2 linked regions of the Mus musculus genome follow. The protein of the gene in region 1 interacts with the protein of each later gene in a pairwise test. Links are inferred from orthologs where the notes say so. Each region holds a gene or a part of one and is shown in the gene's direction. Other genes may lie near its edges.

Evidence for each region.
Region 2: the proteins of Sf3a3 (region 1) and Tada2a interact in binary tests that used the Homo sapiens proteins (3 or more experiments, as listed by UniProt). The two-hybrid records come from large-scale screens. The link is inferred for Mus musculus from reciprocal best matches to the Homo sapiens genes SF3A3 and TADA2A.

Annotation. Positions count from the first base shown.
Region 1 is NC_000070.6:124,721,106-124,725,236, forward strand, and holds part of Sf3a3 (splicing factor 3A subunit 3), read left to right. Parts: intron 1-918; coding exon 919-1,001; intron 1,002-1,772; coding exon 1,773-1,911; intron 1,912-2,565; coding exon 2,566-2,634; intron 2,635-3,653; coding exon 3,654-3,721; intron 3,722-3,969; coding exon 3,970-4,077; intron 4,078-4,131. UniProt on the Homo sapiens protein: Component of the 17S U2 SnRNP complex of the spliceosome, a large ribonucleoprotein complex that removes introns from transcribed pre-mRNAs.
Region 2 is NC_000077.6:84,119,164-84,123,294, reverse strand, and holds part of Tada2a (transcriptional adapter 2-alpha), read left to right. Parts: intron 1-2,106; coding exon 2,107-2,213; intron 2,214-4,131. UniProt on the Homo sapiens protein: Component of the ATAC complex, a complex with histone acetyltransferase activity on histones H3 and H4. Required for the function of some acidic activation domains, which activate transcription from a distant site. Binds double-stranded DNA.

The DNA of each region.
Region 1 (4,131 bases):
CCTTGAAGCTCTGCAGGAAGGTACCTTGTCCTCTTCTGCACCTCCATATATGGCTCAGAGATGCCCAATAAGTGGTTATGTAGATTAACACAGCCATCTTTCTTTTTTTTTTAGATTTATTTATTTATTTATTATATGTAAGTGCACTGTAGCTGTCTTCAGACACTCCAGAAGAGGGAGTCAGATCTCGTTACAGATGGTTGTGAGCCACCATGTGGTTGCTTGGATTTGAACTCTGGACCTTCGGAAAAGCAGTCGGGTGCTCTTACCCACTGAGCCATCTCACCAGCCCCACAGCCATCTTTCAAGACCTTATTTTAGAATGGCAAAAATTATTCCCACTGCCCCACCGTGTGTTGCGGCGCCAGCACAAGCCACGCTTCACCACCAAGAGGCCCAACACCTTCTTCTAGACATAGAGACCCACTGAATAAAAACTTGAGACTGTCAAAAAAAAAAAAAAAAGAATGGCAAAAATCTTTAGGCAGGATCCTGGCCCACCCTGAATATCCAGCCCAGGTTTTACTAGGGCTAATGTTTGTTAACTTGATCTTGTAGAGTTGGTTTCATGTTGGGCAATCTTGTACTCCCTTCAGTAGAATCAGCCTCCGGGATTGTAAGGCAGGCAGGAAAGCCCTAATGTGAGCCAAGCCTCGATACTTGGTCAGAAAACGCTCGATTTGGACCTTGATTTAAAAACAAAAGTGTGTGTGCGGTGGCCTTCAAATATGGGGGTCACGGAATAACTTGAGGGAGTTAGTCCTCTCCTTCCACAGTGTGGGTCTCTGAAATAGAACTCAGATCTTTTTGCTTGGCGGCAAGCACCTTCATCCCCTGAGCCATCTCTGCAGCCTTGTGTGATGTTTTGAAGGTGAGCTGACTTAGCACCTGATTCTGTCATTTGTTTCCTCTTTTCAGAAGCTGGATTACATCACATACCTGTCCATCTTTGACCAGTTGTTTGACATTCCTAAAGAAAGAAAGAATGCAGAGTACAAAAGGTAGGCACTTACAGGTTCCAGGCCGTTTCCAGATTTAGGTAGGATTTCATGGAAAGGGTTGGGTCAGAGTTGTGGCTTTTGTTGTCTGAATACTGGACATGAATGACTTTTGGGTTTATCAGAAGGTAAGGATACTGAGTGTTATGTTTTAGAAATATTTGTGATGCTGTCATGGTGGTGCAAGCCTTTAACCTTAGCATTCCCAAGAGGAAAAGGGCAGGTGGGTCACTGAATTCAGCTGGTCTGCATAGTGAGTTCCAAGCCAGTCAGGGATGCGCAGTGAGAGCCTGCTCAAAAGATAAACGTGTGGGACGTTCTGGTTATGGACAGAGCTATTATGGAAACATCTGTGGTCTTAACACACACCTTCCTTAATTTTGTGTGATTTAGAAAGAAGTCTGTTTGGGGACCTCTGAGGTCTTGTAGTTTAATGGGGAAAGTGTCCAAGCTAAGTGATGTGCTTGGATCAGGTATTAAGCAGAAAGTACTGTAGACTTGGCCACACTTCTCATTAATGTTCCCCAAGCCATAGGCCTTCAGTTCTAAGCCTGCAAGTACAAATGAGCAGGCACACACACGAGACACACACACACACTTTCTGTCTGTCTGTCTGTCTGTCTGCCTGCCTGCCTCTCTCTCTCTCATATGCTATGAGTTTTACTTTATCAACTATTATTAGAAATTAAGTATGGTTTGCAGGGCATAGCAGGATGTCACAGGTAGAATTGCTTCCTTGCTATAATGGCTTCCTTGTTGCATGGTTCTCTGCAGATACCTGGAGATGCTGCTGGAGTACCTACAGGATTACACAGATAGAGTGAAGCCCCTTCAGGATCAGAACGAGCTCTTTGGGAAGATTCAGACCGACTTTGAGAAGAAGTGGGATAATGGCACCTTTCCTGGATGGCCGGTGAGCTCCAGTGGGGTTCATGCCAAGGAAGCGAACTAATTATTTTATTCTTGAGTCTCTGCTTCAAGACGTTGGATGTCAGTCCCTCAGTATCAGCTCCATCCTGAGGCCGGCATTCTTTGTACACTTGGAACAAGATTTGTCAGGACCCACTAGACATTGTCTGGGCCCTGGGTTTTTAACAAACATACCCAGATTGCTCTGTGACTCCTGACCAAAATCTGATCAGTTTGTATGATTAGAATCTATGTTTGTTTTTAAGAATTGTTTGTTTATTTTATTTATGTGAGTACACTGTAGCTGTCTTCAGACATACCAGAAGAGGACATCAGATCCCATTTCATAAGGTTGAGAGCTACCATGTGGTTGCTGGGATTTGAACTCAGGACTTCTGGAAGAGCAGTCAGTGCTCCTAACCACTGACCCATCTCTTCAGCCCAAATTTGTGTATTTTTACTTCTTTTGATAAACTTGAGCTTTCAGGAAGAAAACTAGCTGTCTGATACTTTTTTTTTCTTCACTTCTGTATGAATTGATCATTATTTGTAAATGTGTTTAAAGAAAGGGACCAGATAGTCCTGGGAAGTTAGATAGCTCCATTACCTTCAGTCTTCTCATTAGCCTGGATCGTAATAAACTTCCTCTACCTGCCAGAAAGAGACAAGCAGCGCCCTGACTCACGCGGGAGCCCATCTTGATCTCTCCGCATTCTCCTCCTGGGAGGTATGTTCTATGACACTACATGACACTGCTCTTACTTGGCTGGCTGTCTTTCTGACAGTGGTGGTGGCAATAAATGTATTGTGTAGGAGTAGGTATATGTCTCTGAGCGTGCATGTGTCTCTGCGTGTGCCACAGCATGCATGTATCACAGCGTGCATGTGTCTCTGCGTGTGCCACAGCATGCATGTATCACAGCGTGCATGTGTCTCTGCGTGTGCCACAGCGTGCATGTATCACAGCGTGCATGTGTCTCTGCGTGTGCCACAGCGTGCATGTATCACAGCGTGCATGTGTCTCTGCGTGTGCCACAGCGTGCATGTATCACAGCGTGCATGTGTCTCTGCGTGTGCCACAGCGTGCATGTGTAGATGATGAGTTGTGGGAGCTGATTCTCTCCTCTACCACTGAGTCTTGGGGCTCAAACTCCGGTCACCCCTTCCTTGACTGTGGGCATTTTTTTTCCTTGTTGAGATATCTCACTAGCCCTGGCCATCCTTCAGAGGGACTGCTTGCTCTCCTGTATTCAGTGTCTTAGACTTGTCACAATACCACTTCTGAGGGCAGGCATGTACAAGGGATATGAAAAGATCAGAAGGGAAAAACCTTTTAACATCTCGGAAAACTAGATTTCAGAGACCTGTGAGATGATGTCATAGAAAGTCAGAGGGGAGCTGAGGCAGGAACATTGCTGTGAATTTGAGGCTGGCTTTAGAGTAAGATCTGTCTCCAAACACAAAGTCAGTAATTCCAAAACGAGGAGCTAGAGACAAGAGTTCAGTTGGTGGAGGGTTTGTCCAGCGTGTGTGAGGTTCTGGGTTCAGTTCCCATCTCTGCAAAAAATACTGCTATGAATGGTCTTCCTACAGAGAGCCACTAAACACTGCCTTCCCAGTACGACTGAGCCTAGACGTGGCAGTAGTCAGTCTTTGGGAACTGAAAGCTAGGGTTGACTGTAGAATGTAGTCTTACCTGGGGAGAAAGCTGATCATGTTGTGTTGTAACTGATTTCTCTTTTCTAGGAGTTGGCATCCCTGGGTCTGGATAGGTTGAAATCTGCACTATTGGCATTGGGCCTGAAGTGTGGCGGGTAAGAACCTGGTTTTGCTATCAAAAATCCTAGTGACTGTATGTTTGGATGATCATCTAAGTGGCTCTGATTTTGTTGTTTGATTGCCCCAAACTGTCAAAATCATTTTGTGCAGTGCATGCTGGTGAATGCCTTTAACCCCAGCACTGAGAGAACAGGCAAGTCTGTGAGTCAGAGACCAGCCTGGTCTACAATAGTGAGTGTCTTTTAAAAAGAAAAAAGATAACCTGTATCCCTTACCACCTCAGGACCCTAGAAGAACGAGCTCAGAGGCTCTTCAGCACCAAAGGAAAGTCTTTGGAGTCACTCGACACTTCTCTGTTTGCCAAAAATCCCAAGTCAAAGGGCACAAAAAGGTAAGTAGCTGGGACGCTCCACTCTGGGTCTACATGTCTTTCCCATGGAGTCTG
Region 2 (4,131 bases), on another chromosome or scaffold:
CTAAGTAGCTCTGACTGTTGTGGATCTCATAAGAATCTGCCTGCTTGTCTTCTGAGTGCTGAGATTGAAGGCATTCACCACCATACTGCAGGCACTGGGGCTGGGGTATAACTCAGTGAGCACTGTTACCTGTTTGACTAGCATGTACAAGGTCCTGGGTCAGATCCCCAACACTGTCAAAACAAACACTTTTAGCGTGTAATATAGAAATAGGTTCTAGGGATTGTAATTGTGAGCTTTGTTTTTCTATCTCATTGAATATTTAATGAGATACTTGAAAGTTGCTAAGGACTGGAGTCAGGGCTTTTTGTTTAGTTTGGTTTGCTGTGTAGGAAGGACATCTTTAGTACTTAACATCTAGGATCCCAGTTCCTATCTGCAAAATGTTCTTAGTGCATCCCTCTCATCCTAGCAGCAAAAATCTGCCTTCGTAGGTTTCCAAAATCTCTCCTAGGGGTTAGTTCAGAACCATCGGGTTAGTTAATTGATGAAATGAACTGTTGAAAGGATAGAAAAGGGTCAGTAAGATGGCTCAAGCCCGAGGACCTGAGTTCAATTCCTGTAACCCACATGCTGGAAGAAGAAAACTGACTCCCAAAAGTTGTCTTCTGACTTCCATATGCTGCAGAGCACGCACACACACACACAAATACATAAATATAAATAAATAATAAAGTGTAATACATAAAAGTTAGGGAAGCTCTATTGTGATGATATAGAACCACTTGAACCTAGGATTCAGGGCCAGTTTTGACAACTTAAAACCTGTCTCTTAAAAATAAACAAAAATCAAGAGTTCAGGGGGTAGTGATTTGGGAAAGATTGGCATCTGGGGCTGGAGAGATGGCTTGTCACTTAAGGTGTTCTGTCCTTTTTTTGTTTGTTTGTTTGTTTGTTTTGTTTTTCGAGACAGGGTTTTTCTGTGTAGCCCTGGTTGACCTGGAACTTACTCTGTAGACCAGGCTGGCCACGAACTCAGAAATCCACCTGCCTCTGCCTCCCAAGTGCTGGGATTAAAGGCATGTGCCACCACTGCCCGAAGGTATTCTGTTCTTGTAGGGGGCAAGCAGACATGTGGCCTGTAAGTCCAGCTCCAGGGAACCTGACACCCTCTTCTGACTTCCATTGCCACCTGCACTGGAATGCATGTGTCACACACAGACATACAAATAGACATAATTTTCTTAAAAACCGACATGTAGCACTTAGTATTTTAATTTTTATCAGAAGTGGTAGATGGTCAATGCCTGTAATCCCTTCACTTTGGAGGCAGAAGCAGGCAGATGAGGAGTTGAAGGTCCTAGTTGGGGACTAGCCCCTATCAGTTTTCTCTGTCTTCATTGCAAAGCAAGCGGCTGTCAGAGCAAAGAATGGTGCCGCAGAAAGTGTTTCTTAGCTTTATGGAGGAAAGCGCTATTACAGAGTCTGATAGCTAAACAAAGTAAGTCCCTTCATCTCCCTTCCAAGGCCTTTGTCTCACATTCCCATGGGCAATCACAGAACAATAGGTTGCTCTGACTTCAGAGAGGCAGGATTTAGGGCAACCTGGAACAATGGTATCTGTAGTCATAGGGCTTTGGAGAGTTTACATGCGCCCTTTGCCTTCATCGTTCAGAACAAGAACAGGACTGTTTACAGCGGTTTGCCTTTTCCTTGGTATCTCAAGTCTAGACACAAAGCTTAAATCTCAAATTGGAATTCCTCCAACTTGTTAAGAAAAGAATTTTAACTTGCAGAGAAGTTGAAAGACCAGGGCAGTGACTGCCTGTGTGCTGCTCTTAGGTAGAACAATCGTTGACCTTTTGTCTGGTTTGCTTTTATGTGTGTGCTGTATGGGGAACGTGCCCAGTTCTCTTTCCCTTGTGGCAAAGTGGGCTCTGTAAAACTTTAAAATTTCTAAGTTTCTCTTCTCTGCACTGACCATATCTGCCTAGTGTTTGAAGCAATAGGTTCACTGGAGGAAGGACTACGCTGCTGTGTAGTAGACAGAGTGGTTCTTGTTTGTGTGTGCAGTGAACTCATTTCACTACTGTGTGTTTGTCAGTGCAGTCGGGCTTCAGCCATTCATAGAGTGTTAAACTCATGTTTGTTTTCTGTGTGTTCCAGATGACCCATCTGATAAGCCGCCCTGCAGAGGCTGCTCCTCCTACCTCACGGAACCTTACATTAAATGTGCTGAATGTGGGCCCCCTCCTTTCTTCCTGTGTTTACAGGTAACTCCCTGGGGAGAGGGTGTCTCTCCTGGTCTGTTTTGTGGATACAGTAACTTAGAGTAACTGGATAGCTTAGGACCACCCTGCACGAGCTCTCTTGCTACAGGTAGTCTTCCCTGCGGACTTTACCAGGAAGGTTGGGAACGGATGGGTGAGACAGACAGGACTGTTCCAGACAGCGGCTCATCTTAATGCTGACCACCTTCCCAAGAAACCTGAAAATTTTCCATAGCAGGAGTCAGAGCTGGCAGGCTGTTCCTTTTGACCTCACTGTTTAACTAGCTAGAGTAGTCTTTGTGTAGTTGACAAGTGAACCAAGTGTTTTGTGGGCTATATTAGGAGTAATACTGGTTAGGGGTGCCAGGTACTACTTTGAGTACCTCACTTGAATCAGCCCTAAATCATCACTACAGCACTGAGAAGTGAGTAAGTCAATATCTCCATTTTATAGATGAAACTCAGCCAAAGAAAGCCTAAATCATTTGCTTGTTGGGATTATCAGGGCTTACGCAGTCTAAGACACTTGATTATAGGAAGCATTCCAGAGATGGCACAGGGTCTGCTGTGCAAGCGTGAGGACCTGAGTTTGAATCCCCAGCATCTGTGTAAACCTGGGCATGGTAGCATTTGCCCGTAGCCCCATGCTGAGGAGGACATGGAGGAGGTAAGGGAAATTTGGGCGAGCTTGGGGGTTTGTTAGTTAGGCAGACTAGCTAAATGACAAACTCTAGGTTCAGTGAGAGACCCTGTCTCAAAAAATACAGTGGAGAGCGATAGAGGAAGACACCTAATTGTGGCTTTCATAAGGGTGTGCATAGCTGAGTGCACCTACAAACACACGTGCACACAAACAGCATCCAGTTTCAGAGATGTTAAAATGTAAAAAAGTGATCCTTTTTGAGTTATAGTAAGAGTATATATTAGAATCCCAGTACTCAGATGCCATTTCTGTGCCAGGCAGATCTCTAAGTTCAAGGTCAGCCTGCTCTACAGAGTACCAGGACAGCCAAGGCTACATAGAGATACCCTGTCTTGAAAAAACATTTTTTTTAATTAAAAAAAAAAAAAAAAAAAGATTATGTACTGGGCATGGGGTGAACTCTGGGAGAATGGACAGGAGGAGAGAAAATGAAGCCAGCCTGGACTACATAGCACAATTCTTCTCAGTATACCAAAAACAAGAAAAAAACAAATCCCAAAACAATGGCTTTAAGACTATAGTATATCAGCTGGGCGTGGTGGCGCACATCTTTAATCCTAGCACCCGGGAGGCAGAAGCAGGTGGATTTCTGAGTTGGAGGCCAGCCTGGTCTACAAAGTGAGTGCCAGGACAGCCGGGGCTATACAGAGAAACCCTGTCTCGGAAAAAAAAAAAAAAAAAAAAAAGACTCCAGTATATCCATCAGGTTGGTAGTGGCAGTAAAGGCCTGTAATTTCAGAACTTGGAAAGAGAGAGAGGAACAGGAGGACTTCAAAGCCAGTCTGGACTACTTGAAGTACTTGAGTTCTTACCTCAAATAATGTCTTATGTTTGTTTGTCAACAAACAAACAAACAAACAAACAAATCAGAGCATCTTCAAACCATCTGTCTTGTATTGTTTTATTTACTTTTTGTGTTTTTTTTTTCCTTGCTCAAGTTTATGTGTAAAAACAGCATAGGACACTGGTCATCTGCAGATGGTGTGTACTTGCTATGTCCCAGCACTCCAGCTGTCTTCACATTGGCAGGAACCTTTTGTGGGGCCTTCACAGGGTCCTGGGCACCTTTTGGAGTCTGAGCTAGAGCCAGAGCCTAGGCCTGGGTTTGAACCTTAGGCTTTGGTTGGCAGTGCCTGCGCCCCTTGACCATGTAGCTTTGAATTCACTTCCCAAGCTTGGGGTGAGCGATGAAAGCCAGATGGCTGAGTTTGCAGCTGG